Linked DNA regions of Pelodiscus sinensis. The protein of the gene in region 1 purifies or fractionates together with the protein of each later gene. This does not show direct contact. Links are inferred from orthologs where the notes say so. Each region holds a gene or a part of one and is shown in the gene's direction. Other genes may lie near its edges.

Region 1 (7,147 bases):
CCGCATTAACTATCAAACAGCAGTTCGGGGGCCGACTACACACTTGAGGTCCAAATAAAAAACAATCAAAACATGGATGTTGTTTTTAATTATTTATTTAATATTATTTTATTCAGTTATTATTTAATAACACATTGATACACTACACATGAACACCTGTATTAGTGTGAATGGTGAAATTGTTTCCTTGATGCCAAAATAGCAGACATTTCTGGCTTTAGATTTGTTGTCCCTAACATCAACAGTGACCTGAGATTATCATCGGACAAGTTTGTTCTCAAATTGTTCTTCACATATTTCATTCTTGAAAATGTTTGTTCACACAGGTATGTTGTTCCAAAGATTGAAAGGTACCTTGATGCAAAAGTTTTGACATTAGGAAAGTCTTCCTTGGGCAAAAACTGGTAAAAACCCACCAGTCCTATTTTGAACTTGTCCCTAAGGAGGTCATTTGCTTGCAACTCAATGACTTCCAGCTGCAGTTCATCTGGGCAACTGGCCACATCTGCTTCAAATGGGTTTTGAAACAATCTCACTTCTTCTGCCTTTGAATCCAAGTCAGAAAACCGCTGCTGAAACTGCAGCTGGAGGTCTTTGATGATCTCACATGCAAATGACGTGGGGAACTCAGCTGTTGCTTCAGCCATGAATACCTTGCACTGCTGAAAGTGCGTCAAGTTGTTGGCCTGTACTTGTTCCAAAAACAAGACAAGTTTGGATCTGAAGGCCTTTAGGTGGGTGTATAGATCAGAAACTAGATTTTGCTCTCCTTGTAGTTTTAGGTTCAGAAAATTTAAATGACTAGTTATGTCTGCAGCAAAAGCCAATTTCCATACCCACTCTTCATCAGACAGTAATGGCTGTGGCTTGCCTTTACTTTCCAGGAAGTCACCTATTTCCTTTCTTAACTTAAATACTCTGCTCAGAACTTTCTCACAACTTAGCCATCTTACTGCTGTGTAATATGGTAAATCTTGTGATTCTGTGTCTGTATCTTTCAACATGTCTCTGAACTGTCTATGGTTGAGCCCATGTGACCTTATTAAATTCACCATCTTCACCACAGGATTCAGTACACTGCTAATGTCCACATATTTAGCACACAAAGCTTGCTGGTGAATAATACAGTGCAGGAACATTGGTTGTATAATGTTTTTCTCATTACACATCTGCTTCACTTGTCCAACCAAGCCTTTCTTTATGCCACTCATGTTCTTTCCTCCATCAACAGTCAGGCAACTGAGGTTAGTCCAGTCCAAGTTATAATCAGCAAATGTTTTTTTCAACTCATTGAATATATCCTCTCCAGTAACAGTGCCATACATGCTATGTAGGGAAGCCAGCTCTTGTGTTATGTTCATGTCTTCATCCACACCTCTAATGAACACAAGCAGTTGAGAGGTGGAGCAGCTGTCCAGCGATTCATCCATTGCAATTGAAAAATGGCGAAACTTGCTTGCATTTTTCGCTATTTGAGTCACAATGTTTTCACCCATGTCTGCAACACGGCGGGCAATGGTATTCGCACCCAAAGCTACATTTTCAAATTGTTTTGACTTTTCTGGGCAAAGTTCCTCAGCCACTTCCAACAAACATTCCTTCACTACTTCACCATCTGTAAAGGGTTTGCCACTTTTAGCCAGGACGTAGGCAACTTTATAACTGGCCTTAGTTAAGGATTCATTTTCATTTGAGGATTTACTGAACAATGTCCTCTGAGATGTGAGTTGATTTTGTAATTTAGAAAATTTTTCGGCACGGACTTTACCCTTCAACTGTACATATTTCTCCTGATGTTTGCTTTGATGATGACGGCGCAGGTTGTATTCTTTCATCACAGCCACGGTTTCGTTGCAAATCACACACAATGCTTTCTCGCCGGATTTGATGAAGAAGTATTTCAAACTCCATTCTTCTTGAAATTGCCGACACTCATCGTCTATTTTTCTTTTCCTCTTCTCGGCCATCGCTGGGCACTAAAATAAAGTGAATTCAACATGAATAAATAATGAAACTGAAAGTATCTTGCACACAATATCGCTCAAAAAACCTGATTATGCGAACTAATTTTGTCGCAATAATAGCTGCAAATGACCCGAAACAATTTTTAAAAATTCTTATGATTTCTTAAGTTAAACTTACCTGAATATAGTGTGCAAATATATCCACTTATGGTAGAGAGATTGTTGCTTTTAATGTTTCCTCTTCAGAATATTCGCCTGCGAATCCGTTTCTCCCGGAAGGGGGGGGGGGCTTTTCCCCCTGCTCTCCCCTTCCTCTGCACGCTGTCCTCCCCTCCTGCTTGCCACCGCTCACTCCTTCCCCACCCCGGGCGGAAGGGGTCACCTTTTTAAAGTTCCCGCCGGGGTTCACGTTCCCCCGCACGTCGCCGGGCGGGCGTTACCACCACCGCCCATCCTGCCCCCTGATTGGCCGGCTGCCCTGTCAGTCTGGGCGGGGGAACGCCGCCCGTGCTAACCCCCGCCCCCTGCGCCGTTTGCCGCCGCGCGGCCACCTGTCAGAGGAGCGGCCCGCTTCTCCTGCCCCCTGATTGGCCGGCTGCCCTGTCAGTCTGGGCGGGGGAACGCCGCCCGTGCTAACCCCCGCCCCCTGCGCCGTTTGCTGCCGCGTGGCCGCTTGTCAGCGGAGCGGCCCGCTTCTCCTGCCCCGGCGTGGCGTGAGTACACGCCGCACACCCCTGACAGGGCCCCCCCCCGCGGCAAGAAGGGCCCGTTCGGCGGCACCCCAGGGACGGTCTCCACGGGCCGGATGAGAGGGCCTCGCGGGCCGCATCCGGCCCGCGGGCCGTAGTTTGGAGACCCCTGGGTTAATTGAATAGTCATTTAACCCCATGAATTCTTATCCATTACTTGACTATTCTATAGCCTCTGGGAGCGAGGACGGCAGCCAGTGCACTCTGGTTCCACTCCCAAGGAGCCCCCTGCCACTCCACACTGCTACCTCTGTATCCAAAGCAGCAATGCGGGGTGCTAGGCGGGAGCTGGTCCACAAGGGGAGCCAGTTTAAAAACCAGCTCCCTTAATGGATTGACTGCCTGTTGCCCTGCACTGCTGCCTGATACAGCCCCTATCCAGGTAGGTGTTTAAGCTCCCGGACCCGACATGAGCCAGAACTGAGCCAGGCTGCCTGCCCGCCTAGCTCCTAATACACTTTAAATGCAGAGCTACAGCAGGGGTAGGTCCCAGACCTGGCGCAAGTCGGGACTGAGCTGGGCTGCTGGCCAGCCTGCTAGAAAAAATGTACTGGGGAGGGAGGGGAGTGGAGAATGCGTGTATTCTATAGCATTAACCTATACACTTTTGCTTATTGGTTAATCAACTATACTATTACATCCCTAGGTGGGAGTAGTATTTTGCGGTGGGGGGGGGGGGAGAGGCTCACTGGAATGGGCATAGCGGGAGTATTATATTGGGCGGAGACGCTCCCTGGACTGTGGGTGGCAGGAGTATTGTATTGGGAAGGGAAGAAGCTCCCTGGAGTGGATGTGGCGGGAGTAGTGTGTTGGGGGAGAGAGGTCCCCTGGAGCTGGGGTGGCAGGAGTACTGTGTGGCGGGGGAGAGGCTCCCTGGAAGGGTGTGTGGCGGGAGTACTGTGGGGTGGGAGCTCTCTGGAGCAGGAGTGGCGGGAGTACTGTGTGTGTGGAGGTCTCTGGAGCGGGAGTGGCGGGAATACTATGGGTGGCGGGGGTGTGATGGGGTCCACAGAGCGAGGGGCAGCATCTGAAGCAGGCTCTGCAGCGGGCGTCTTATTACAACGCTCTGAACCTGCCCCCTCCTCACATTGCGCATGCTCTGATCGCTTCCAATCGCTCAGTTCAGACATCTTTCCCCCCCCTCGCTAGTTATTGGTGCTGCGCATGCGCCGCTGTCCCGCCATTCTCTTCCTTTTACTTCAGCCACTGCACATGCGCCCGTACATCGGTGCGAGCACTGCGCATGCGCTAATCCCGACATCGCTACGCCCTTTGTAAAGCAAGCATGCACTGATATTTCGGGCTTCCCCACTTGGCTACGAACATCACGCATGCGCCGCCTCTCCTCGGCCGGCCCCGCCCTCTTGTGGTAGGTATCACGCGCACGCGCTATGCTACCCCTCCCCCCTCCGAGGGGGAAGCAGAGCTGGTGACGTCAGGGCGCGGCGGCCATTACACGGAGGGGAGTGAAGAACGAGTGTAGAGCGCTAGAACTGCTGCCGGGAGCCGGGACCTAGCCGCGAGCGTCGGTTGCCGCCACCGCACCTGCCTGGGTGTCCGGTGAGGCCGCGGCCTGGAGCGGGTCGTAGGGGTGGCAGAGCCGAGCGGTAGCGGCAGGAGCCGGGGAGGGGAGCGCGAGCGGGCGGCATGGAGGAGAAGGTCTTCACCAAGGAGCTCGACCAGTGGGTGGAGCAGCTCAACGAGTGCAAGCAGCTGTCCGAGGGGCAGGTGAAGAGCCTCTGCGAGAAGGTACGGGGGGCCCGCGGCCGGGGGGAGCTGGGGCGAGGCCTGGGCAGGGGAGTCCGGGCTGGGGGCGGGCGGCGGAAGCGCCTCTGACAGGGTGAGGAGAGGGGGCTGGGGAAGGGGCCTGTGGCGGGGGGGGGGCTCCCCGCGGAGCAGCCCCTGCGTGAGGAGCGCGAAGAAGAAGCGGGGGGTGGCCGTGGCCGCATCTCCTCGGGCGGGCCCGGTTTTTCCCCCCTAGCGCCCCGGCGGGTCTGTCACCCCGCGGAGATAGCGGGTCCTACAGCGCCGAGCCGGGGGTAGCCTCCTCCCGGGCAGCTCTGCGCCCCCTGCCGCTCCGCTAGGAGACCGACTCCTTCGGCTGCTGTTCGTTGCCTCCTAAAATGGCGCCTCTCGCAGGGAATCTGCGGGGCGAAGAGACCCTTGTGAGCACCAGCCGTGCTCGGCGCTCGGGGTGTCGCTCCCGGTGTCACCTCCTAGTTCCTCCGTGCGAGAGAGGTAGAAAGGCAAATCTGTAAGGCAGCGTCCAAACGCCCACCCTCCTCCCTCCAATGCCCCAGCCCCGCTTCTCATAAAAGGGGGGAGGGTTGAAAATAGCGGTGGCAGTTGTATGAGACGCAGATGGGAGTGTAGTGGCCACAGATTTATGTCTGCTATGTTAGGATGCCACTACTAGTGTCAGACCCAATCTGTAATTGCTGCCCTGTTGGAAGACTTGAACAAAATGCCATCCCCCTTGGCACAGTTAATGCATGTTTGTTTTTCTTGTAAAGTCCACCAAAATGGCAGGAATTAAAAGTGGAAATTTCATTTTAAGGTGGTAGTGTAGGAATTCCTCTCCATAAAAGTAATTTGGAATTGGAATTTTTTGACTGCCATTGCATTACATTTTTTTTTAACTTTGATGTGTTTGGAACAGCCTTTAAATTGTAATTGGGAATTAGATTAATTTAGGGTATTGGTTTCTCCTTGTAGGCATTTCTAAATATAGCCAGGTAATATGAAGTTTTACTTTGTGTAGTTATGGATGGTGAGGTTTGGCTATTACCTGTCTCGGTGGTCATTCCTCATGGTTTTCCTGAGTTTAGAGGAGCCCTGTAGAATTTAGACAGAATGAATAATAATTTGATACTGTAGTAAAATAAAAGTGGGTAAGTTGATTTAATGGTTGCACAAGTACATTTTCGTTACAATTTTTATAAAGCTGTTATAGTTATCTCTTACATTTTATTTTCACTTCAGATTGTGACTTAATGTCTAAAGATGAAAATTTTAAGGGAAAAAAAGAATTTGCTCTACATAAACTAGTCTATTTGCAGTATAGCATGCTAAATGGCTTTCTGACTTATTGTCACTAAAATCCTAGACATTTGCAAATAGGTAAATGGAGACATGCACCATGATAAGATCACTTGGGGCCATGAATGATGCAGCATTCTCATTCTTGTGTTTTAGAAACAATTTCTGTGTAGGCCACAGTACCTCTCCTCCTTTCATACCAATCTGTGTTTCCACAAATAGCATTTTAATGTGGAATACTGATCAAGTATGTTGACTTGAAAGTTTTTGTGGCATAGCATAGGGGTGTGCATTTAACTATAGTGTGGGGAGAATATTTGTGGAGTGTTTTAAGGAATTCAGGTGGCAAAGTTGAAACATTACTGTTGTACACCTGATGTAAATACTCTTAATTTTTATCATTAATACTGAAGAGCCTGATTTGAGGTGTCTGGAGTCACTACAGTGTGTTTGAACCTGCTACTTTCTGAATTCTTTGTAATCTTGATCAGTCACTTGAAAAGTACTTCAGTACAGTATTTCTCAACCTAGGATATGTGGACCCTATGGGGGAAGAGTCACCCTCCCCCCAAGAGTACCCCAGAAGTTCTGCAGGCCTCACTGATCATCAGCTCTTCTCATTCAACAACTCCTGCAATCTAGAAGTTTGGCTGTACAGCAGGGCTGCAGCAGGAGGCTACTTCCTCACTTGTGGAAATGTGCAGGATGGGCATGTTCCTGCAGGACTGTGGAGGGGAGGAATGTGTCCGTGCACTGCCTCCTGTCCTAAGCGCAAACTCCACAGCTCCCATTGGCCAGAGAGGGAATGGACTCAGTCTTGCAGTATCTGAATTTAGACCTGTTGCTTCCAGATGGAATTCACAACCCTGAGTTAAATGCACAGGTTTTCCTGTGTGAAGCATGGGGAATACTATGTACCTAAGAATAGAATCCATTGAAGCCAGCAAGTTGAGTATAGAAAATGCCAAGGGGAGGGCTATGGTGTGTAGCCCACTGAGAGTTAGGTGCCCAGCTCCATTTGAGGTTCACAGTTATGGAATCCTCTCCTGGGATTAAACACCTATAGCCCTTTATTGCTTCCTCCCCCAACAGAAAAACCCTGTTATAACCTTTATCCCAGTGGTTAGTTCACTGAGGATGTGGTACACATAGGTTCAAAACTCCTTATCTGATGTGGAGTAGATATTTGAACCAGTCTCTCTCCTCTCAGCACCATGCTGTAGCCATTGGGTTAAATGGTACTCCATGGTTGGTATTTCAGTATCTCGTGCTGAAGTTGTTCCACTATATATAAATTTGGCTTTTAGAGAGAGTGAAAATGATTATAGCTTAGTGGGCAGGTCATTATCCTGGTGGATGGAAGATGAAGTTCAAATCCATACTACAAATCAGAAG
Region 2 (7,840 bases), on another chromosome or scaffold:
TTTTCAGAGAAGCGTTGCATTTTAAACAGGAAAAGCTCTATTCAGCTGCGATTACCTGGTAGAGCAAATCTCTCCCGGCTAACACCCCCACACCCACATGTATGAGTAATAGGCACAGAGCTGCCTTTCTGTGCAGAACTCTTCCTGAGCCTGGAAACATTACACATTTAAATGTGGTAACATTTAACTAGAGCTGGCAAGCGATTAAAAAAAGTGTGATTAATTGTGCTGTTAAAACAATAATAAAATACCATTTACTTAAACAGGTTTGGATGCTTTCTACACTTTCAAATATATTGATTTGCATTACAACACAGAGTACAAAGTGTAAAGTGCTCACGTTTGTTTTTTAGAGTGCAAATATTGTAATTAAAAACATATAGTATTTTCAGTTAATCTAATTCAAGTATAGTAGTGCAATCTCTTTATCCTGAAAATTGAACTTACACATCTATAATTGTGGACAAAAAAAAACTGCACTCAAGAACAAAACAATATAAAACTCCAGTCCACTGAGGCCTACTTCTTGTTCAACCACTTGTTCAGGCAAACAACTTTATTTACATTTGCAGGAGATAATGCTGCCCTCTTCTTGTCACCTCAAAGAAAGAACAGGCGTTCACATAGCACTGCTACAGTCGGCAGCACAATGTATGCCAGAGGTGCTAAAGATTCATATGTCCCTTCATGCTTCAACTGCCATTCTAGGGGACATTTGTCCATGCTGATAATAGGTTCCGCTTGATAAAGATCCCAAGCAGTGCAGGCTGACTTTCATTTTCATCATGTGAGTCAGATGCCATCCCATTGTTACCATCTCTGCGTTTTGTCAAATCTGCAGGGAAAATGTTTTTAAAATGAACATGTGCTGCGTCATCATCCAAGACTGCGCTAATGTGAACTATATAGCAGGAGACATGTCATTCTCCCCCAAGAAGTTTTGTCTCAAATGTTAACACTCTTTTTTTAAACAAGTGTTGTCAGCATGGAAGCATGCCCTCTAAAATGGTGGCCAAAGCATGAAGGGACATACGAATATTTAACATATCTGGCACATAAACATCTTGCAATAGCAGCTACAATAGTGACATGCAAATACCTGTTCTCACTTTCAAGAAACATTGTAAATAGGTGGGCACCTTTATAGAATCATAGAACACGAGAACTTTGAAGGGACCTCCAGAGATCATCAATCTAGTACCCTGCCCTCATGGCAGGACCAAACACGGTCAAGACCATCTCTTATAGATGTCTACCCAACCCTGCTCTTAAATATCTCCAGTGATGGAGATTCCACAACCCCCCTAGGCAATTTATTCCAGTGTTTCACCACCATGACAAGTAGGAAGTTTTTCCTAATGTCCAACCTAAACCTCCCTTGCTGTAGTTTAAGTCCACTGCTTCTTGTCTTATCATCAGAGGCCAAGGAGAAAAATTTTCCTCCCTCCTTCTTGTAAGATCCTTCCATAACTGAAAAAAAAGCTTGTTTATCTTAGAAATTGGCTGAACAAGAAGTAGGAACAAGTGGACTGGTAAACTCTAAAGTTTTACTTTGTTTTGGAGTGCAGTTATTTAACAAAAATGTCAACATCTGTAAATTGCACTTTCATGATAGCCTGCACCATTGTATTCATGAGGCGAATTTAAAAATACTATTATCATTTTTCTAGTACAAGTATTTGCAATCAAAATAATAGAAAGGGAGCACTGTACACTTTCCATTCTGGGTTGTAACAGAAATAAATATATTTGAAAATGTAGAAAAACATCCAAAATGTTTAATTTCAGTTGGTATTCAATGGTTCAATAGTGTGATTAAAGCTGCAATTTTTGAGCTAATGTGTGAGTTAACTGATTTGTTGACAGCCCTATATTTAACCATTAGGTTTTTTTTAAAAAAACAGTCTATATCTAGGTAGAACATGATTCCAATTATGCCCCTCTCAGAGTTATAGTGCATGTTGCTTTTCACATGGCTCCCCGAAAATGCCACTTCTTGGTGAGAACGTATGTCGACTCCAGCTGCAGAATATATTTAATCTGACTAGGGAAACCGGAGACCACAGGTCTCAAACTCCCAGCCTGCAGGCCATCCTCAGCCAGAGCAGTTGTGCAATATGGTGTAGTATGCCTGGTGGGGGACCTGTCCATTACTGCCCCAAGCCCTGCCCCTTCCCACTATTGCCCATCCTCTCCCCGCTCCATGGCACCCCATCCCTCAAGGATGCGGCTTCAGGGATCATGGGGAGGAGGGTGCCTGGTGTTGCAGTGGGCATGCTCCTTATACTACCTGCGAGTGCGTTTGACCAGTGTGCCCCACTTCCCCTGCTACTCCTGCTGCTGCAGGGAGTGAGGGGGGCCCATCCACTGCTACTGAGCCACACCAGGCCCCCTCCCTCCATAATCCCTGAAGCCCCATCCTCCAGGATGGGGTGCCATGGGTGGAGTGAGGAGTGATGGCATGAAGGGGCGGGGCTTGGGGGCCCGTAATGGACAATCCCCCTCCCCAGTCTGCCAGAGTCCCAGGCTGGATTGTGCAATTGCTCCAGCCAGAGATGTCCCATGGGCTGGGAACTTGAGACCCCTGCCAGAGACTAGACTGTCTGTTTTTTAACCAGGTGTAGCTGTTTGAGCTGAAAAGAGTGACTGATAAGACAAGTATCCCCTCCTCCACTGACACACATGTAAGGCTTGGACTATTTTTCAGGCAGACACATGGTATTAAACTGTGTTGCCTACTGAACTTTGGGAATCTGATAAGACCTCCTTCTCCAGCTTCAGCTCTGGAATCAGAGAGGTTTCTGGAGAATGAGGCTTTCCCTGGGCACTGCTCTGGTTGGCACCTTTCCAAGGGATCCTTCTTGGCTGAGGTTCTTCTGATCAGAGCCACTAGGAGAAAAAGAACAGGACTATTCTACACCCTCCCCCACCCTTGGGATCTGAGTCACCCCAGCATCAGCACATCAGCTGAGTCACTGGCGCCCCTTTCAGGGGCTGAAGGGAACCCACCTGCTGTCTGAGCCAATCACAGCCTCTGATTGTTTTACTCCCCCCTGTTCCCAGCATGCCGAGCAGGATCCTGCGCTGGAACTAGGTGCTATATGAGAACTGACTCATTAGGGAGCAGCTACTTGATAAGGCAGGTGGTGGTGGAGGGAAGGCAGGCAGCTCATCCTGCCCTAACTTTGTTATGGAGAGCGGTAACTGGGGTAGCTGGCATCCTCATTCCATGGTCCACCCCCAGGCTCCTAAGCCTATTGAATTTTTTTTTGAGTTTTATTATTAATTTGAAGGAACAAGCTACCAAACAAATAAAGGGAAAGAAAAGGAAAAACCCAGCTAATTGGGGTCAGAGCTGACGGACCCAGGCTGTCCACTGGCTCCTTTGTGGGGACAGGGATCTTGCCCGCTGTCCACAAAGTCCATCTTCTTCCTCTTTGATTTGTGAAGCCTGAGAGCTGAATCTCACCCCAACAGCCAAGTGGGAACCTGTCCCTGCTCTATTTTAAGGTGTACTGAAATGTATTAAAATGGATAAGTACCGTTTGACACGACATTGAAGCCGATACTGACTGCCTGGTATGCTTCAGGCAGGAGAAATGTACACAAGAGAAAAATCACAGATGTGAAGGGAAATGTCCCTTCAAATAAAGCCTTGTCCCTTGTTTTTCACAGGGTTTTTCCCTTACTGCAATCAGCAAAGATGATCGCTCTGTTCGGGTCTCCCACCAGGGCTGGGTTGGATGAAGGCTCTCCAGGCCTTTGGGAACAGCCCCACAATTGGCCCCTGTGGCCCCATTTGCGCACTTGACGTGGCAGTGCCCTCAGTTCCACGCTTGGAGAGGCAGGTACAGCAGCACGGAGCCCACTTCTTGCCTAGAAGCAGCAGCAAGTTTTCCTCCCTTTTGTGAGCAACAGGTTTCTCCTGTTCTTGTCCCAGCACCTGAAGTGGGTGGGCCAAGCCCCTCAGAGCAGGGGGGCTCACACTGCGGGGTGCACAGACCATAATCCCCTCCTCAGAGTTATTGAGTCAGGCTCCCTGCAGACTCTGGCATCCGTGACGCTTCTGCCCTGTTTTCAAACAATTCCACCCAGGCAGGCTAGACGTACAGGCTACATCTACATTGGCAAGATTTTGCGCAAATACTTTTAACGCAAGAGTTTTTGCGTTAAAGTATTTGAGCAAGAGAGCGTTTACACTGGCATGTGTTTTTGCGCAAGAGATGTGCTTTTGCGCAAAAGCATCCGTGCCAGTATAGACGCTCTCTTGCGCAAGAAAGCTCCGATGGCCATTTTAGCCATCGGGGTTTATTGCGCAAGAAAAGCATGTTGCCTGTCTACACTGGCCTCTTGCGCAAGAACAGTTGCGCAAGAGGAGGCCTTTTTCCTGAGCGGGAGCATCATAGTTCTTGCGCAAGAAGCACTGATTTCACACATTAGAAGTCAGTGTTCTTGCACAAGAACTCCCCGCCAGTGTAGAGAGGCAGCATGTTTTTGCGTAAAAGCGCTCGCTTTTGCGCAAAATCATGCCAATGTAGACACAACCTAACTGTTTGTGTCTACTAAAACAGAGATTGTGAGATTACCAGGACTCCAGGAGCTAGGGCCTAGCATTAGCTTTTGTGCCTCTGCCTCAGTCCCACCAGGGCTTTCCTCTGCCACACCGCAGAAGTGTTTGCAGTTGGAGCCAAGGTACCAACTTGGGTCTCTGAGGCTGTGGCCTTCCCTTTCCCCCCTTCCCTGGTCCCTCCTGACTCCCAGGACCTAGGACTGGAGGCGGGAGGAAAGAGTTGGAGCCTGTTCCTTATCAGGAGCCAGGCGTGTGCAGCAGCTGCAGAGGTAGCTAATGGGAAGCCGGGGATGGAGCCGAGCGCGCTGGTGGCGTTTCTCCCTGCAGGCTGCTGCGGGGACACGCTCGGGTTGCCTGTCTGAAGGTGCCTGTGGCCGCGGAGATGGGGACGGGGGGGTTTGATGCCGCTTAGAAGATCCCCGCCCCGGGAGCTGGCCCAGGTCCGCGGCTCGCCGAGAGGCAGGTTTTGCGTTTTCCGGGCACAGTTCGGACGTTTCCGCGTCTTCCCAGCGCCGGGGAACCGGAGCGGGCTCGGCCGGGCTCCCCGCCGCGCTGCAGGCGCCCGCTCCTCCTCAGCCGCCGGGGCCCTGCTGCGCCCCCCGGCTCGGGCTCCCGGCCCCGCGGCGGGCTCGGGCTCTCCCGCAGTACCGGGCGGAGGCGCGGGGGGCGCGGCGGAGCCGGTCTCTCCCGGCTGGGCTGAGCCGTGCGGGGCTCGCCGCTCTCCGTGTCGCCGCCAGAGCCCGCGGCCGCGGCCATGGGGGTCCCGGGCCGCCCGCCTTGCGCTGCTCCCCGGCGGCCGCCGCCCGCGCTCCCCGCCTGCCGCCGCGGCTGAGCCGCATGGGCCGGGCCCCGCGCCGCGGCTGCTCCGAGCGGGTGAGCGAGCGGAGCCAGGCCCAGGCCGAGCCGGGAGGCCGCCCCATTGTGGGGCCGCCGGGACGGGCCGCCGCTAGGCCGCTGGGGCCGGGCCGGGCGTGCGGGGGGCCGGGCTCCGGGGGTCCCGGGCCCCGCGTCCTGCCGGCTCAGGCGGAGCCGCGGCTGCTGTCAGCGCCCGGCCGGGGAGCCGGGAGGCAGCGGCCGCCCCTCGGGAGCCCCGATCCGCGCAGGGGGAGGTGACAGGCTGGAAATCCCGCGCCGGGCCCTCAGGCGGCGCGTGTGTCCCCGCGGCGTGGGCCGGGGCGCCCTGGCCTGGCGAGTCGCACCCGGGCCTGGCCCGCGCCTCGGAGCAAAATGGCTTGTGGGTCAGTGCGGGCGAGCGAGGCAACGCGCTGGGAAAGGGGGCGACGTTTCACGGGGGGCCGGGGACTCGCGGGTCCGTGTGGTGGGGCTCGGATGAACCCCGGGGCCTGGCTGCTCTCGTAGGGACGAGAAACGCACCGCGAACGGGGCAGAGGGCGGAATGATTGGATCCGAAATTGCAGGTGTTCAGGCAAACCTCAGCATAGCGCGCGTGTGTGTTTTGGCCCAGTAGCTGTGCTGAGTAACTGTATCTCTTGGCCTCAGGATCACAAAGCCAGTTGAAACCCACAGTTACCTGGGAATTAAAATCACTCAGCCTGGTTGTTTCCCATGTTGTCTTGTTTTGTGATGATGCGCAAACTGTCGGGTGTCTTGAAGGCCAGGAAGGGCACCTTCTAGCTGTATTTGTTCAGCTCGGGGAAAGTTGTCCAAAAGATGCATTGGTTTGTGTGGGCTTTGCTTTGTGAGAGTGGCTTTTATTTCACAATTATTTCCCTTGGTATATTTTCACATGCAGTTGAGTTAGTCCATTTAAAGAAGTGCTCTGTGAGACAGCTGCAGCTTTACAGCATTCAGGTTTTTTATCCGAGGGGGAGCCGTGTTAGTCTGAATCTGCAAAAGCGGCGAGGAGTCCTGTGGCACCTTTCGTGGGCAAAGACCACTTCGTCAGATGCATGACTCACATGCATCTGACGAAGTGGGTCTTTGTCCACAAAAGCTTATGCTCCTACACTTCAGTTAGTCGATAAGGTGCCACAGGATTCCTCGCCACTTTTGCAGGTTTTTTAGTTGACCCAGAATTATTTTGTAACACTCAACTTTTGTTAGTGTCTTGAAAGAATTTAGGTTATATTGATTTAGTACACAAGTAGGTACCAGAGGTTGTACAACTCTACTCCTGTCTCCAGACATACCTTTTTTTTTGCACCATGTTGGTTCAAATTACTTTTTTAAATATTGTTTGATTATTTCTTCTCAGGTGGTGGCTAGGACTGTTCTCAGGGTCAGCAGCAAATAATGTTTGTTAGCTTATGTGAAACTTCAGTAAATAGCTCCTGCTCCATGAAGTATGATGATATATTCAATAGTGCTGTGCCATACACACAATTTTTACATTATGTTCCTTTATTACAGGAGTGTCATTGAGAAATATGCAAAATATTCTGGGAATGATGATGCTTTTAATTTCACTAAGGGATATTATTCACTTACCCTAATTAATGCTCAAAATGCTTTTCAAGTGCTGAGGTGATGTCAAAATGTGCCAAGGACTGGAGGGGAATTTCATAGTGTGTAATGGTGATTGTATTGGAACGTATATGGCTTGATTACATTATATTCTTGATTTTTAGTGCTAATTGGGAGTATTTTCAGAGAATTTTTTCATACTCTGAAAGAAATTCCAAAATTGTTATGGAGATGTGAATTTACCTAGTATTTAGCTATGTAAAACTACTGCTTATTTTATGAGTTTAGGATATACATGTTAAAATTCAAGTAAATCTCCTCTTTATGAAATATATAAATCCTTTTAGGATTGTTTGTTTCAGTACCTCTGTAATAGAAATATTGGCGTGCTCTAAAAATAGTCACGTTAGAATTTTTGTCTGCAGTATTTTTAATTTTGTTCTCGTTTTGTTTCAACAGGACAAACACATTCACTCTGGAACTCCTGATACTGGTGTTTTGAGGCTTAGCCTGGTCCCTCCTTGTTTCTGTGCAAGCAGGCACCATAAAAATGAATATCCACGGGAAAGGCTTCCCTTTGGATCTTGGGGGAAGCTTCACCGAAGATGCTCCAAGGCCACCGGTCCCTGGTGAGGAGGGTGAGCTAGTTTCTACGGATCCAAGGCCAATCAGCCATGGCTTCTATTCTGGGAAAAGTGACGTGATTAAAAATGAGACTTCTACAGCAACCCCAAGGCGCTCTGATTTGGATTTGGGGTACGAGCCTGAAGGGAGTGCTTCTCCGACTCCACCCTACTTGAGATGGGCCGAGTCGCTGCACTCCTTGTTGGATGATCAAGATGGGAT
Region 3 (7,349 bases), on another chromosome or scaffold:
CACCAAGGAGCTAATTACCATATTTAGCTTACTTCTAAATAAGTAACTTCCATCTTATGAATCAAATTCCTTTAATGATTAACCCTTCCACTTGACTACTTTCTAACAGTTATATTGTCACAGCCAGTTAACAGCAGATTTGAACAGAAGGTGCAAGCTTAATAACAGAGTTTATACAGATCATTGACAGTTTGGGTGGCAACATCTCAAAATGCTTGTTCCTAGTGTTGGTCTGTGCAGCTCTCAGTTTAGTAGCATTTTGTGGAAGTTCACCTATTAAGTATTTTGGGATTTCAAATTATAATTATATACATGCCAGTCAAAAAAAAAATCTAGCCATACTTTCTTTATGCAAGCCGTTGTCATCTGGACTTAACACGGTATGAATTAGATTCATGTACATATTGTTTGGCCAGTAGGCCGCCAAGTGTACTTGCATAAAATCCTTGCCTTTTAAAGTAGCTTGTACATTTTAAAACTTTCTAACATTTTCTGAAATGGCTAAAATTAAAGTTATCATTAAAATCTTCAGCTATATTCTTACTCAGCTGTCAATATGGCACAGATTATTACTATATTCTTTTAATCTTTATTTATCTTCCATGGTGACTTAACTTCATGTGTTGCTACAAAGATTTGCAGATGTCTTTAATCAAGCACTATTTGTTAATACTGTACTATCAATATTATGTTGCATTATTTAAAAACATTCAAATTTAATAGATGAAAAAGTTTTAAATGCTATTGCACCATTTAATTTGCTGCACAACAGTCTATGGCATAGCATATCAGTCTGTTAATATTATCCATGTAATTGTACATGAAACAATATTTTGGCCTGGGTTTCCTCTAAGAACTCAGTTTCTCAAAGTTAAATTATATGACAAACTATCTTGACAGAAATTCTAAAGTGAAAAATTAATTACTTTCATCTTAATTGAAAGATATAGATCTATGTCTGATATTTAGAAAATCTTATATGTGGGTGTACTTTATTTTCAATTGAGTGAAACTTCATTTACAGTAAAACTGGATTTGGGACCTACAATAATCCTCAGGGTCACTTTTTCAGGAAGTTTTAATATAGCTTTAGGTTTTCCAAATAAACTGGATTTGAGGACCTTGAAAAGCTATTGGATTTAAATTGCAAATTGTGGCATCATTACTGGACATGTCAATTTCATAAATCTTCTCAAAATAGCTGGGTCACTTTAAGGGAAGTTTTTAAGGTTTTGCTCAGCAGTGACGTTTAATGGTCCAAGTCGTCTTATTTAATATGACATAAAATCAAATAAGGAACAAACACTATTGCTGCCGAATGCCATAAACACTGAGTTGTACAAATTGTGATTGAGGAAATGAAAAAAGTTTATACTTTTAAAAAAAAAAATTCAAATGGAATAAATTATTCATGAAGCCTTGATTGTGGCGTCTCTCTTTATTTCCAACACTCAACTGTACGATCCTCTCTCAGTGTTCCCTCCAACCTTTTCCACTCATGTACAGGATTTTTCCCATTAATATATAGAATACATTTTTTATGTGCACCAAGATGTATCTGTGAATTGCTACTAGAAACACATGGGCTACGTCTAGACTGTGTGATTTTCCGCAAATGCTTTTAACGGAAAAGTTTTTCCGTTAAAAGCATTTGCGGAAAAGAGCGTCTAGATTGGCACGGACACTTTTCCACAAAATCTAGACACGGTTTTGCACAAGAAAGCCCCGATCGCCATTTTCGTCATCAGGGCTTTTTTGCACAAAACAGTTTTTAGCTGTCTACACTGGCCCTCTTGTGCAAAAACATTTCCGGAAAAGGGCTTTTGCCCGAATGGGAACGTCGAAGCATTTGCGCAAGAAGCACTGATTTCGGACCATAGAACTTCAGTGCTTTTGTGCAAAATCAAGCGGCCAGCGTAGACAGCTGGCAAGTTTTTGCACAAAAGCCACCGTTTTTGCAGAAAAACTTGCCAGTCTAGATGCAGCCAAACTGTACTCTAATGAGCTGAGTGGCATTTCAATCTCTCCTGAGTTGCCACATGTGTATCTAGCTTATAGGGAACACTGCTCTCTCTACAACAGGAAGGAGTTGTAGCTTATTGAAGATGACTAAAATAAAAGCATTTTTGCAATGTAGCATAGACACAAAATACACAAAAACCTCAGGGTTAGGACCTTCAGAATTACAAACTAACCCATCAACCACACCCCTTGTTTGGAACCAGAGATATGCAATCAGGTAGCAGCAGATACTCCCCTCTCCCCGCCTCTTCCTCCCCCCCCCCCCCCCCCCCCCCCCCCGCTGGTTAAATATAAATTACTAGAAAACTACTGGGAAATAATTTTTTAAAACTTGATAAGGAAGCTGTTTCTATGCTTTTCGTTTAAAGTAAAAGTTAGAAAAATGTAGCTTTTTTGCATAGTAAAGATTGAAAACTGTATTAACAAAACCAAGGAATGCTGTGATATCCAAAGATTAACAGATTTCTTTGGGCACAAGCTTTTGTGGGCAAAACCCCATTTCATTAGCTGCACTCCAACAAGCTTTCTTGGGCAAAGACCCATCTTTATGCCTAAAGAAATATTGGTCTTCACAGGCTTCCTTGTTGTGTTTGTGGATGCAGATTAAGAGGGCTACCCCTCTAAAGGGCTGCGTCTAAACTGTCTACACTGGCCGCTTGATTTTGCGCAAAAGCACTGATGTTCTACTGTCCGAAATCAGTGCTGCTTCCGCAAATGCTTCAACGTTCCCATTCGGGCAAAAACCCTTTTCCGGAAATGTTTTTGCACAAGAGGGCCAGTGTAGACAGCTAAAAACTGTTTTGTGCAAAAAAGCCCCGATGATGAAAATGGTGATCGGGGCTTTCTTGTGCAAAACCGCGTCTAGATTGGCATGGACACTTTTCCGCAAAAAATGCTTTTGCGGAAAAGCGTCCATGCCAGTCTAGACACTCTTTTCCGCAAATGCTTTTAATGGAAAACTTTTCAGTTAAAAGCATTTGTGGAAAATCATTCCAGTCTAGACATAGCCAAGCTGTATAAAGTGAATGATCTATGGTAAGCTTTTAGGATACTTATAACCTTCCTGCACCCGTACCTGAGCTGTCATTGTGCACTTCTAACACTAGTCTCCCAAAGCTTTTAACGACTGGGTTTTTACATCATAAGCTTAGAATTGGACACTTCCAACCCACTTGATTAGCCTAATTAGCACCAGTCCTACAATTTACAGGTGGTGTTTTTTTCTGCTACATCTTAGTTACTAGCTGGATTTTATCCATGCTTCTCTCTCTATATTTAAAAAAAAAAAAAAAAAAAGTTATAAAGTCTCAGGGATTTGCATGTTAGTCTGTATTTTTTTTTAAACGAGTAGTCCTGTGCTACCTTACAACCAAAACTGTATCGATACTGTGTGTATACACATATATAAATGAAAGCTCATGCTTCTCTCCACATGTATTTTGGTTAGTTTCCAAGCCCCTGGCTACATTCGGGAGTTATTTGGAAATAAGCGGTGTCTCCGTCTTACCAACCCTATTCTCTCAATCTCTACTCCTGCTGCTTTTGGCTGTAACCGGACCGACTTTAAGGCTATTTAAAAAAAAAAAGTCGCTGTTGTTTAGCCTGCCGTGGCCTTCTCCCGACACTAAATAACAGATGCAGTGGGATTGTTTTTCGGCAGCAGCAAACCTCATTTTAGGAAGAACGAAGCCTTTTTTTTTTTTGGTGTTGAAAAGGCCTTGAATGCAACCAGGGCTTTTTGGAACGAGCATCCAGCTGGCCCAGGCGCGCTCCCGCGAGAGCGGCTCTTGCCTGGCTGGGCGCGCTCTTTCGAAAGAAGCGCTCTGAGAAGACGCGTCCTGTGGGCTCTCAGCCGCAGTTGAAGTCGTTACTCCCGGCGCTGCTAGTTCGAATGGGGGGGGAGGGGTTCGCGTAGACAGGCCTGAAGGGGCCAGCGGCCCACTCGCGCTTTCTGACCGTTACAAGACGAAGCGCCCCCTCCCCCCCCGCTGAATATGATCCGTAGCTTGGGGGGAGGGGGCGGCACAAGGTTCCAGCGGGCGGGGGAGGGGCGGGGAGGCCCACAGCGGCCGGGTCCCTGGCTCCGCGGCACGTCACTCTCGGCCCCAGGGGCCGCCTGAGGCCGGCTCACGCCTGGCTCGTCCCGAAACGTCACCGCGCCGCCGTTGACGCTATTCCGAACGTCAGACGCTATTCTCCTTTTCGCCCCCCCCCCTCTGAGGCGGAAGGCCGCCAACGCCTTCTGCTGACGTCAACCACGGCTTCCCTCCCCCGCGCAAGCAGCTCCACCCGAGCGACGGCCGTTCCTGACGTCACGTCCGGTTGGCCTGTCGGTTGTCCCGCCCATTGCTCCTCCCACGCCCGAACGTTCCTAGAAGCCTTTGACGGCGTCATCAGGGGGCTGACGGGTGTGATGTCATCAATAGGGGACGGGTGCCTGCTGCCCCGGCCGCAAGGTAGCGGCGGCGTGGGCGGGGCGGAGCCGCTGCCGGTCTCGGGGGGAGGGACGGGTCCCAGGTTAGTGAGAGTCCTGGATCCTCTGCCCCGACTCTCCCTGGAAGCCTCGGATCCCTGGGTCCTGAGTGGGGGGGGGTCGTTAGAGCCCCCCCTCGAGGGGCTGCACCCCGGGTCCTGAGTGGGGGGGGTTGTTAGAGCCCCCCCTCGAGGGGCTGCACCCCGGGTCCTGAGTGGGGGGGGTCGTTAGAGCCCCCCCTCGAGGGGCTGCACCCCGGGTCCTGAGTGGGGGGGTTGTTAGAGCCCCCCTCGAGGGGCTGCACCCCGGGTCCTGAGTGGGGGGGGTCGTTAGAGCCCCCCTCGAGGGGCTGCACCCCGGGTCCTGAGTGGGGGGGGGGGTCGTTAGAGCCCCCCTCGAGGGGCTGCACCCCGGGTCCTGAGTGGGGGGGGTCGTTAGAGCCCCCCTCGAGGGGCTGCACCCCGGGTCCTGAGTGGGGGGGGTCGTTAGAGCCCCCCTCGAGGGGCTGCACCCCGGGTCCTGAGTGGGGGGGGGTTGTTAGAGCCCCCCTCGAGGGGCTGCACCCCGGGTCCTGAGTGGGGGGGGTTGTTAGAGCCCCCCTCGAGTGGCTGCACCCCGGGTCCTGAGTGGGGGAGGGGTTGTTAGAGCCCCCCTCGAGGGGCTGCACCCCGGGTCCTGAGTGGGGGAGGGGTTGTTAGAGCCCTCCATGGTGCCAGATGCTGGGGTCCTGGGGGAACTGAGGCTGTCAGAGCTTTTCTCTCTCTCTCCCCGCCTGGCCCCAGGACCTACTGCCTGGGTCCTGTTTCAGTCTGGAAGGAGGACGGTTCAAAACTGGGTGCCTGGGTTCTGCTTTCAGTGCAGGGCCACGAGCAGATCAACCCCTGCAACACGGTCCTGGCCCTGTTCTTGTCTCGTGTACCTTCCCCTTTCACAACCCTGGCACCACCATCCTTTGCTCTTTTTGGCTCTGAGGTGAGGAGGCGGAGTAGGCCGTTGGTGGGAGCTGTAATAGAAGTGGCGGACATGAATGCAGTTATAATAAATCATTGCTTTGGATCCCAAGGGTTTCTTGGCTGTGTTGGAGATGTGTCCCTTTCTGGACACCTGGTGTCCCAGTATCTCAAAGCATCTTGGAGATGCTCACAACCTTAACTTCTTATGAGCACTTAGTGACAGTTGAAAATAGCACCTGGAAGTCCTGGTTACTAGACCTTCCTCCCCTCCCAGAGCTGCAAATAGAAAGTAGGAGTCCTGATGCAGTCTCCCTCTTTAATGGGAGGCATGACCCAGATGTCTCAGATAGGAGCAGAACTGGTAATCCTGACTCCTAGTCTTGTGTTTTAATTGCTAGACCACATTTACCAGCTTAGAGCTGTCAAAAGCTGTGATGCAATCTGTCTCTTCTGATGATAATTGTGTTTTTATTTTGTCTTTAGGACAGGTGGTAAAAATGGCAGAGTGTTCTGGCCTTCAGTTTGTCAGCCCCTACGCATTTGAAGCAATGCAGAAGGTGGATGTTGTGCGCTTGGCAGCACTAAGTGACCCAGAGTTAAGGCTTTTGTTGCCTTGCCTGGTGCGAATGGCCCTTTGTGCCCCAGCTGATCAGAGCCAAAGCTGGGCTCAGGATAAAAAACTTATCCTTCGACTCCTTTCAGGAGTGGAAGCTGTCAACTCAATTGTTGCCTTGTTGTCTGTGGATTTTCATGCCTTGGAGCAGGATGCAAACAAAGAGCAACAGCTTAGGTAGCTAAAACCCATTTTTAATATGATTTAGAAATGTGTATGTATGAATATTTCATCTGAATGTTGCCATCTTCTTCCAGAATGTAATAACAGTAGTGAATCCTGTTGGCCTGGTTACTTGGCATTTTGCTACATTATTGTTTCACATCCCATGCGTGTTTCTTGTATCTTGGGCTTGATAGGACAGCATGCAGGGAAGGATATGGAATTTATTGCTTTTTTTCAGTGACTCAGTGCCCTTCCTCCACCACCATAGCTATGCAAGGGGGCACTGATGCTCTTCAAAGGAAGTGCTATCTAGTCACATTTTACCAGAAGGATTAACCCTTGGAACTATAAGGATGCACTAGTCTTTGGCTGTGGTCTGTGTATTGTATGGGAATGGAGCAGGGATTCTCAAACTGGGAGTCATGACATGGAGGGATCAGGAGCAGTGTTCCCTGTAAGCTGAGTGCTTGGGCGGCCACCAAAGAGAGATTCAAATGCTGCCCACAGCCAGCAGCTTGTGTTTCTACTGGTGGCATACATCAACACATGCCTCCATGCACATAACATTTATTCTGTGCTTGGAGGGGAAAAAACTAGAGGGAACATTGTATAGGAGGTTATTAAATGAGGGGGTCACAAGCTCTCAGTCTCTACCCCAAACACAGCTTCAACCTCCAGCAGTTATAATAGTGCTAAATATAAAAAGAAACCTTTTTAATTTATAAAGGCTGTCCCACTCAGACACTTGCTGTGTGAAAGGGGACACCAATATAAATGTTTGATAATAATGGGATAGAGACACCTATTTGAGTGTGCATAAGCTTTTGTCATGTGTTTTTTTTTTTTTTTTTTTTTTTTTTTTTTTTTTTTTTGCTATTTGAAAATATCAAAATCATGATAGTTTTCTGCGGCCACTAGTAAAGTTATCAAGAAAGTTTCGTAGAACCAGCAAAACAAGTGTAGATTGCTGTTCTTGCTTTAATATTTAAAGTGCTCAGATACTACGGTGACGAGCATGGTATAAGAACAGACTAACAAGAAATGCTACTAATTTCTGTGCCTTATTTTTCTTTAAACATCTGTTTTTGCCTTGTAATGTATTTGTTAGACACAAACTGGGAGG
Region 4 (7,747 bases), on another chromosome or scaffold:
GATTTTTACTCAGTGTGCAGCTTCATAGGTCATTTACATTCCCTCACTCAGGTCTTAAATTCTCAAAGATTATTTCCCTGTGGTTTCCCATTCCCCTACACTTGGGGTTCTGGGTGTTAGCTCAGTGGGGAGAGGGAGGAAAAGATTGGGGTGAACACCACAGAACTGAAGCCTCACACCTTGGCACTTTCTACAGGCCTGAAGTATGCCTCCTGCTGGTTTGAAAATGTTTACCAGAGCTCTGCTAGAGTGGGCTCTGATGAATTTGAGCCCTGCACTCATCCCATGCATTTCCTAGGAAACCTACTCAATTAACAGTTTACACTGTTTCAAAAAGTTCTTTAATGTTCCTAACAGCAATAAACACAGTCCAGAAACCCTCTGAGGAGAATATGGGGTTGATCCCCAAGGAATAAATAGTTAAACCAGCTGACTGTATACAATGTTATTGTGCTATAAAATGTCAAATAAGGTCTTTTATGAAAGCTTGTAGTGTAATGTCCCTATGTTTTATGTAAGTCACATCTTTCCAGGAGTTACATACAATCCCACAGTAACACATACAGGCAGTCCCCGGGTTACGTACAAGATAGGGACTGTAGGTTTGTTCTTAAGTTGAATTTGTATGTAAGTCAGAACTGGTACATATTGTACCCCAGGTGTCCCCGATTCAGCGCTGCTGAAACTGACCAGCGGCTGACTACAGGAAGCCCGAGGCAGAGCTGCTTTGCCCCGGGCTTCCTCGAATCAGCTGCTGGTCAGTTTCAGCAGCAGCTGACTTGGGGACACCTGGGGTAGAGCAGCTGGGGTGCTGCCAGGTTGGTCCCCGCAGCGCCGAGGTGCGGTGCTGCGGGGACCAACCCGGCAGCGCCCCAGCTGCTCTGTCCCAGGCGTCCAGATTCAGCCACTGTTGAAACTGATCAGCAGCGGCTGAATCGGACACGCCTGGGGCAGAGCAGCTGGGGTGCTGCTGGGTTGGTCCAGTAGCGCCGCACCTCGGCGCTGTGGGACCAACCTGGCAGCCCCCCAGCTGCTCTACCCCAGGCTTCCTGATTTAGCCGCTGCAGAAACTGACCAGCGGCGAGAAAAGCCTGGTCTGCTGGGGAGTGGGGCACACTAGCTGCGTCCCCCCCCCCCCCAGCCGACCAGGGAGACGCGGGCGGCGGGACCGCTGAGACGCGCCACGGTCCCGCCGCCTGCGTCCTCCGCGGCTTTGCTCCGCGTCTCCCTGGTCTGCTGAGGGAGCCCCCCCAGCAGACTAGGGAGACGCAGAGCGGCTTTTCTCGCCGCGGGGTTCCCTCACCCCATTCGTAAGTAGGGATCCGACATAAGTCGGATCCACGTAACCCGGGGACTGCCTGTAATTGCATTTGTAATACAATGGATCTCAGAAGTATTGCATTTAGCTCAGTACAGTTTAATACATTGCAGAAGAGGACACTCCCCACTATTATAGCAACACTTCTCTAGTTTGGTGCATTCCCACCCTCAATAGATGGAAACAGAGGTAGAAAGAGGGTCAAATTGCAACTTCAGCTACATCAATTGTGCAGCTGAAGTCGAAATAGCTTAACTCAGCGTTTGGTGCTGTCTACACAGCAGGAAGTTGAAAGAAGAACACTCTCCCTTCAGCTTCCCTTACCCCATGTGAAATGAGGGTTACAGGAGTCGGAGTAAGAAGTCCTCCAGCTTGACATTATTTTGAAATACAGGCTTGTAGTGTAGACATGCTCCTTGTTATTTTGGAATAACATCAGTTATTCCAAAATAATGTTGTTGTGTAGACGTACCCATAGTGAAATTCATGTTTAGTGTATCTGCCATCCCCATTTCTGTGACTCAGGAATCGTTTGTTGCAAATTGGTAAAGGGCATAGAAGATACATAGGAGTTTACGGGGATCCCATAGATGACTGGTGCTTCCCCATAATGGGGGGACACTAGCTAAGGGGGAAGACATGCGACCATCCCATGTGTCTCTCCTTCAGTGACTCCCCTCCCACTTTGTGTTACCCAGCCCCATGCCACATGAGGGTGAGGATTCTATGTCCTTCTTTCTCCTGCACCTCTCTCCCACCGCATTTGCTACTTTCTCTGCCCTTGGCAGTTGGGCAGAAATCAGGACACAGCTGTTTCTGCCTAAAAGGGACTGAATGGAAGGTGAGAGAGAGAGAGAGAGAGAGAGAGAGTGTGTGTGTGTGTGGTTGTGCCCACAAAAGCTCATGATACCATCTACATGTTTTGTTAGTCTCTAAGGCTCATCTAAACTACATCCTCTTCCGAAAGAGGAATGTAAATGAGGCTGATCAAACATGCAAATGAAGTGCAGATTTACCAATCTTGTGCTTCATTTGCATAATTGCGGGCGAGCGCTTTTTCGAAAAAGGGTTTTTCGAAAAAGAAACTTCAGTCTAGAAGGAATTCTTTAAAAAAAAACCAACCCTTTTTTGAAAGAGCCTGTACTCCTGAAAAAATGAGGTGTATGGGCTTTTTTGAAAAAGGGCTTTTTTATTGAAAGAACCCCATCTCAACTGCGCTTTGTTTTTTGAAAAACCCTTTTTCGAAAAAGCATTCTCCCACTATTATGCAAATGAAGCACAAGATTTGTAAATCTGCACTTCATTTACATTTTCAGTCGGGCTCATTTACATTTCTCTTTCAGAAGAGGAATTTAGTTTAGACGAGCCCTAAGGTGCAGCAGGACCATTCGTTGTTTTTTAACATTTTTATGTATGTGAGAGTGAGCCTCCAAATCAGACTCTCTTATGCAGAAGCAGCTGACAAATGTGTTGTTTAGTTGGGATAATAATGCTTCCTTTTCTGGCTGATCATATGTTTCACAGTGTAAATCGAATTGCATTACTTAACCTGATGCTAATGAAGATGATGACTTCACGTAAGATCAACAAGAAATGTTTTATCCCAAAACAGCATGTTTCTATGAGTAAAGACAATAAATATTGGGAGTATAATGGGAATATTATGATATACCTGAATCCTTCACCAAGGAGACAAAACTGTCAGGATGTTTAGCCTTACAAAAGGAGGGTGACAACCAATGTTCCCTCTAATCTTTTCTATGTGTTGATTATTTCCATCCATGTGCAGAATACATTTTTATGTGTATCAAGGCATTTGCGAATAGGGTTGCCAGATGGTTTAACAAAAAATACCGTACCACCCAAAAAAACCTGGGAAGAAATTCCGTTAAGAAAAAAAAAACAGCAAAAGTTGTTGAGCAAAAAGAAAAAAAAAAGGGATTGAGTAGGGCCGAAATACAGTCGCGGCCCTTTAGTTCCCAGCCTGCTCCATCCTCCCCTTGCCCCAGCCAGCCCAAGCTGTGCTGCGTGTCCCAACCACCCTTCCACAGACACCTGAGCTGGGAAAAACAGAAAATGTTCTGAATTTTTTTACTGGATGGAAGGCGCAAATACCGGTGGCTGTCCAATTCAGTACCGGACACCTGGCAACCCTATGTGTGAAGGTGTACCACTAGCAGAAGCAAAATCCTAGATGTGGGAAATCTGCTAATCAGCTGGAGAGCATTTGAAGCTCTCTTTGAGTGGCTGCACAGGCGCACAGCTTACAGAGAATATTGGTGCCAGCCAACATGGCTGAAAAACACTGAAGACTTCATTAAACAATACAGTATCCTGATTGGGGGGGGGGAAGGGGGAGAGTAGGGTGTCCAATTCCATCCTGAAGCCCTTCCCCCTCCTGCCATCCCCTTGCCATCTCCTCTCCCTGTCACTCTGTTCCCTGAGGACTGGGCCTCAGGGATTACTTGGGGAGCCTCGCACAGGGTGGTCCCCCAGCAGTAGGGTCCCCCTGCACTCCCTTTTTGAAGGCAGACAATTGTAGAACAATTGTAGAACAATCAGAAGTGTTAAACTGAATGTAAAGAAATGAAACCAAGATAGGAACATAGTAGGGGTATCAATAACAGTAAACACTGTGATTGGGATCATTACAGTGTTTCCGAGCATTAAAATTCTGAAAATATAGAATACAGACATAACAATATTTAGTATATTTCAGAAATACAAATTGCAGTTTTTTTTCAATGATTGATGGCAGTGGTAAGCTTCAAATTTGTTTAAAATTGTAAATACAGGGCATCTCTGCTATTAGTTCGCCCCATATATATCCGTTTCATACTTAAATCGTGTGCAACACAAACCAAACAACCACAAACAAAAACCCCAACCAATTTGTGCAAATGGAAGTCAGCTGCAGGAGAAAAAAAATCACCACTTTGGGTGTAAGTCCAAGTTTTTTGGAACAGAACTTGGACTTGTAGCGAGGACAGCCGGTACATCAATACAATGTGTTCAACTCCTGTCTACAGCTATCAGGGGGTAGGGAAACTAAAGTTTAGCGTTTCATTTTAATTGTGGAAAACACTGGTTTTTATGAGCAGCTAATGCTGGGGTTCTGCAGTCCCGGGCCAGTAGGCTGTGTGGGGTGCCTGTTGTCACACCCAGCCGCGCCTTTCCAACGCTTTGACCGGCCCCTTCTCAACTCCCTCGTGCTCTGCTAAGGAAACGCCTCCCCGTGCCGGACCCACAGGCAGAGGCGCTGTGGTGGAAAGGGAGGGGCGGCGGCTCTGCGAACGCAGGGACTGCGGGAAGGGCGGAGCGCGCCTGTGTTCCCCGCCCCTCCAGGCCCCGCCCCCTCGAATCCCCGCTGCGCCTGCGCGCGTTTCTCGTGACGCTGGATGACTCTACCCCCAGGCCAGTCGGTGACCCCGGAAGCGGAAGTGCAGGACGGCGGGGAGTGCGGATTCCGGTTCCGGCGGCGCTGGTGCCGCTGCTGGGGGGAGCCCAGCAACCGCCTCTTCTCCCACCTCCTCCTCCCGGCCCCGCCATGCTCCCCGTGTTCCAGAGCAGCCGCCGCGAGTTCACCTTCGGGCCTTGGAAACTCAGCGCCGCCCAGACCCACATCATGAAATCTGCCCAGGCCGAGAGGTGGGGGCGGGCTGCGGGCCGGCGGGGGTTGGGCTGCCTGCGCCCGCTCTACGGGCTGCGGCCGGGCGGGCGCCCGTGGACGCTCTGAGTTGTCAGCCTGAGGTTTGAGCCCGGGTCTGACTCGGGTCAGCAGGCCCCCGGGATTTGGGCGCTAACGTCTGGGCTCCTGCCCTGTCATTCCGCAGTGTGGATACAGCTTAAACCACAACCCATGTGCGGTCTGTGGAGAGCAGCTTGGATGCAATAGCACAGGTGTCGGACCTCGGGCCAGCGATTGTAAATCTAGGTGTTTGACGCCATGTAACGGTTGCTCAGACATGAGCTTGGAAACATTAAGGCTAAACTAGAGACCTTATATAATGGCACAGCTGTACCGCTTTGTCTCCTGTGTAGCTAGCTATGATGATAGAAGGGCTTAATTAAACTGACCCCCCGCCCCCAAGCACCGGGAGCTAGGGATGTAAAATCCTGTTCAATAAGTTAACCAGTTAAACATTAAGCTGCTGTTACCTGGTATGCATCACCTGTTAAGGGTGATGCTTACTGGGTAGTTGGTTAACCAGTTACTGCATCCTGCTGGGGATGAGAAATGGTGTCACCAGTAGGGATGCAAAAGTATAACCATTTAAATGGCTAGCCCATAAGCCTGGTGTTAGCAGTTAATATTAACAGTTATATGCAGGCTCCCACCTTGCTCCTGGGGAACCGGCTGCCACCCTGCACTACTGGCTCTAGCAGTTATACAACTACCCACTTTTTAACATCCCTAGTTGGCAGGAGAGGCTCTACCCAATGACATAGCACTTGCTGTATCAGTGCTTTTGTGGATTAAATGTATGTTGGTGGGGGTATGTGTGTTCCACACTCCTGACCAATAAAACTTGTACTGATAAAAGTGTTAGTGTAGACATAGTCTGAGTCCATAACCATTGGGCCTTCAGACCTGGGTTTACTACATAGTGTAGGCAAAAACCTTGGCAAAACCCAGCTATCTTCTCAAGAGCCACAGCAAAGAGCACTACTAATAAAAGGGAACCCCAATAAATGTAAAGTGCATATTGCCACCATTTGGGGTCAAGAATTTCTTTTGCATCCTTTGTCTGATGTTGTGGGTCATCTTTTTGTTTGAGAGGTAGGGATGTGGTGTTTTTCTTCTTCTTCCCAAGGACATTTATTGTGGACTCTTCAGCTCATGTTTTCTTACCAAATGGACCACATGCCTTTTCAGATGTGGCAACAATTTCTGTTTCTATAAAGCAGTAGGAGAAACTGCTTCCTTCAGACTTGACTATTGTTTGTTTGAAACCTGAATGTTAAACTAAATATAAATAGTTCAGATACTAACAGTAATATTTGAGTTTGTTTACAAGCAACTTTTTTTTGATAGTTTGTTATCTCTGGATCTCATATCCTATAGTAAATTAAATCTGTCATACTTCAGCTATTTTAAGTCTCACCAATATAGGACTTTCAGATTGTTGCATTAATTTTTGTGAGATTCATTTGCTTATCATAAACTTATTTTGGAAGGTACTCTTTGTATAAGTCTGCCTTTTATTCAAATGTTTGTAAAGTCCTGAATAGACTTTTAAATTAAAAATGTCATTTTATTGAATTGCATTCCATAGCAAAGTGTATGATAAACATGAGGAGATGAAATCATAAGGTTATGACATTATTTACCAAACTATCTGGGAGTCATAGTCATACAGCCAGATCGCATGGTGTTTGTTGTGAGCTGCACAAACACAGTGCAATTCTACTCTTAGGAGCATTTTTTGCACTCACTTTTTTCTCATTCTATCTGTGCCTGATGTGTCTATTTACAATTACAGACCGGTAAATTTACCAGGTAAATTAGTTGAAACTATAGCAAAGAATAAAATCATCAGACACATAGATGCACATAATTTGTTGAGGGAAAGTCAACATGGTTTCTAAAAAGGGAAATCATTCTTTACTAATCTACAAGAGTTATTTGAGGGGGGCCAACAAATATGTGGACAAGGGGGATACAGTAGATATAGTGTACTTAGATTTCTGGAAAGCCTTTGACAAGATCCCTCACCAAAGGCTCTTAAGTAAAGTAAGTTGTCATGGGACAAGAGGAAATGTCCTCTCATGGAGTGAAAACTGGTTAAAAGACAGGAAACAAAGGGTAGGAATAAATAGTCAGTTTTCAGAATGGGGAGGGGTAACTAGTGATATCCCCCAAAGGTCCGTACTGGGACCAATGCTATTTAACCTATTTATAAATGATCTGGAAAAAGGGGTAAACAGTGAGGTGGCAAAATTTGTAGGTGATGCTAAACTGCTCAAGATAGTTAAGAACAAAGCAGATTAACAAAGCAGACTGTAAAGAGCTCTCACCAAACTAAGTCAGTGGGCAACAAAATGGCAAATGTAATTTAATGCTGGTAAATGTAAAGTAATGCACATTGGAAAAAATAATCCAAACTATACATACAAAATTATGAGGACTGATTTAGATATAACAACTCAGGATAGAGATCTCGGAGTCATTTGTGGATAGTTCTCTGAAAACATCCGCTCAATGTGCAGCAGCAGTCAAAAATGCAAACAATGTTAGGAATAATTAAAAAGGGATAGAGACTAAGAGAATATCTTATTGCTTCCATAAAAAACTATGGTACACCCATATCTTGAAGACTGTACAGCTGCAGTTACCTCATAAAAATATATTGGCATTGGAAAAGGTTCAAAAAAGGGCAATACAAATGATTAGGGGTTGGAACAGGTCCCACATGAAGAGAGATTAAA

What was found. Proteins that work in one complex are often made in the same cells at the same time.
Region 2: the proteins of PPP2CA (region 1) and AXIN1 purify together in Homo sapiens (affinity purification with western blotting; 4 studies listed by BioGRID and IntAct, with this or other methods). This does not show direct contact. The link is inferred for Pelodiscus sinensis from reciprocal best matches to the Homo sapiens genes PPP2CA and AXIN1.
Region 3: the proteins of PPP2CA (region 1) and INTS2 purify together in Homo sapiens (affinity purification with mass spectrometry; 4 studies listed by BioGRID and IntAct, with this or other methods). This does not show direct contact. The link is inferred for Pelodiscus sinensis from reciprocal best matches to the Homo sapiens genes PPP2CA and INTS2.
Region 4: the proteins of PPP2CA (region 1) and TIPRL purify together in Homo sapiens (co-immunoprecipitation; 4 studies listed by BioGRID and IntAct, with this or other methods). This does not show direct contact. The link is inferred for Pelodiscus sinensis from reciprocal best matches to the Homo sapiens genes PPP2CA and TIPRL.

What each region holds. Positions count from the first base shown.
Region 1 is NC_134727.1:28,175,668-28,182,814, reverse strand, and holds the start of PPP2CA (serine/threonine-protein phosphatase 2A catalytic subunit alpha isoform), read left to right. Parts: upstream 1-4,139; 5' UTR 4,140-4,360; coding exon 4,361-4,462; intron 4,463-7,147. UniProt on the Homo sapiens protein: Catalytic subunit of protein phosphatase 2A (PP2A), a serine/threonine phosphatase involved in the regulation of a wide variety of enzymes, signal transduction pathways, and cellular events.
Region 2 is NC_134726.1:4,493,976-4,501,815, reverse strand, and holds the start of AXIN1 (axin-1), read left to right. Parts: upstream 1-4,827; 5' UTR 4,828-4,934; exon of another isoform or gene 4,935-5,029; intron 5,030-5,146; exon of another isoform or gene 5,147-5,443; intron 5,444-5,512; exon of another isoform or gene 5,513-5,808; intron 5,809-7,453; 5' UTR 7,454-7,544; coding exon 7,545-7,840. UniProt on the Homo sapiens protein: Component of the beta-catenin destruction complex required for regulating CTNNB1 levels through phosphorylation and ubiquitination, and modulating Wnt-signaling.
Region 3 is NC_134731.1:6,070,158-6,077,506, forward strand, and holds the start of INTS2 (integrator complex subunit 2), read left to right. Parts: upstream 1-4,336; 5' UTR 4,337-4,435; coding exon 4,436-4,478; exon of another isoform or gene 4,479-4,539; intron 4,540-5,145; exon of another isoform or gene 5,146-5,467; intron 5,468-5,931; coding exon 5,932-6,238; intron 6,239-7,334; coding exon 7,335-7,349. UniProt on the Homo sapiens protein: Component of the integrator complex, a multiprotein complex that terminates RNA polymerase II (Pol II) transcription in the promoter-proximal region of genes.
Region 4 is NC_134711.1:149,454,654-149,462,400, forward strand, and holds the start of TIPRL (TIP41-like protein), read left to right. Parts: upstream 1-4,734; 5' UTR 4,735-4,865; coding exon 4,866-4,966; intron 4,967-7,747. UniProt on the Homo sapiens protein: May be a allosteric regulator of serine/threonine-protein phosphatase 2A (PP2A). Isoform 1 inhibits catalytic activity of the PP2A(D) core complex in vitro. The PP2A(C):TIPRL complex does not show phosphatase activity.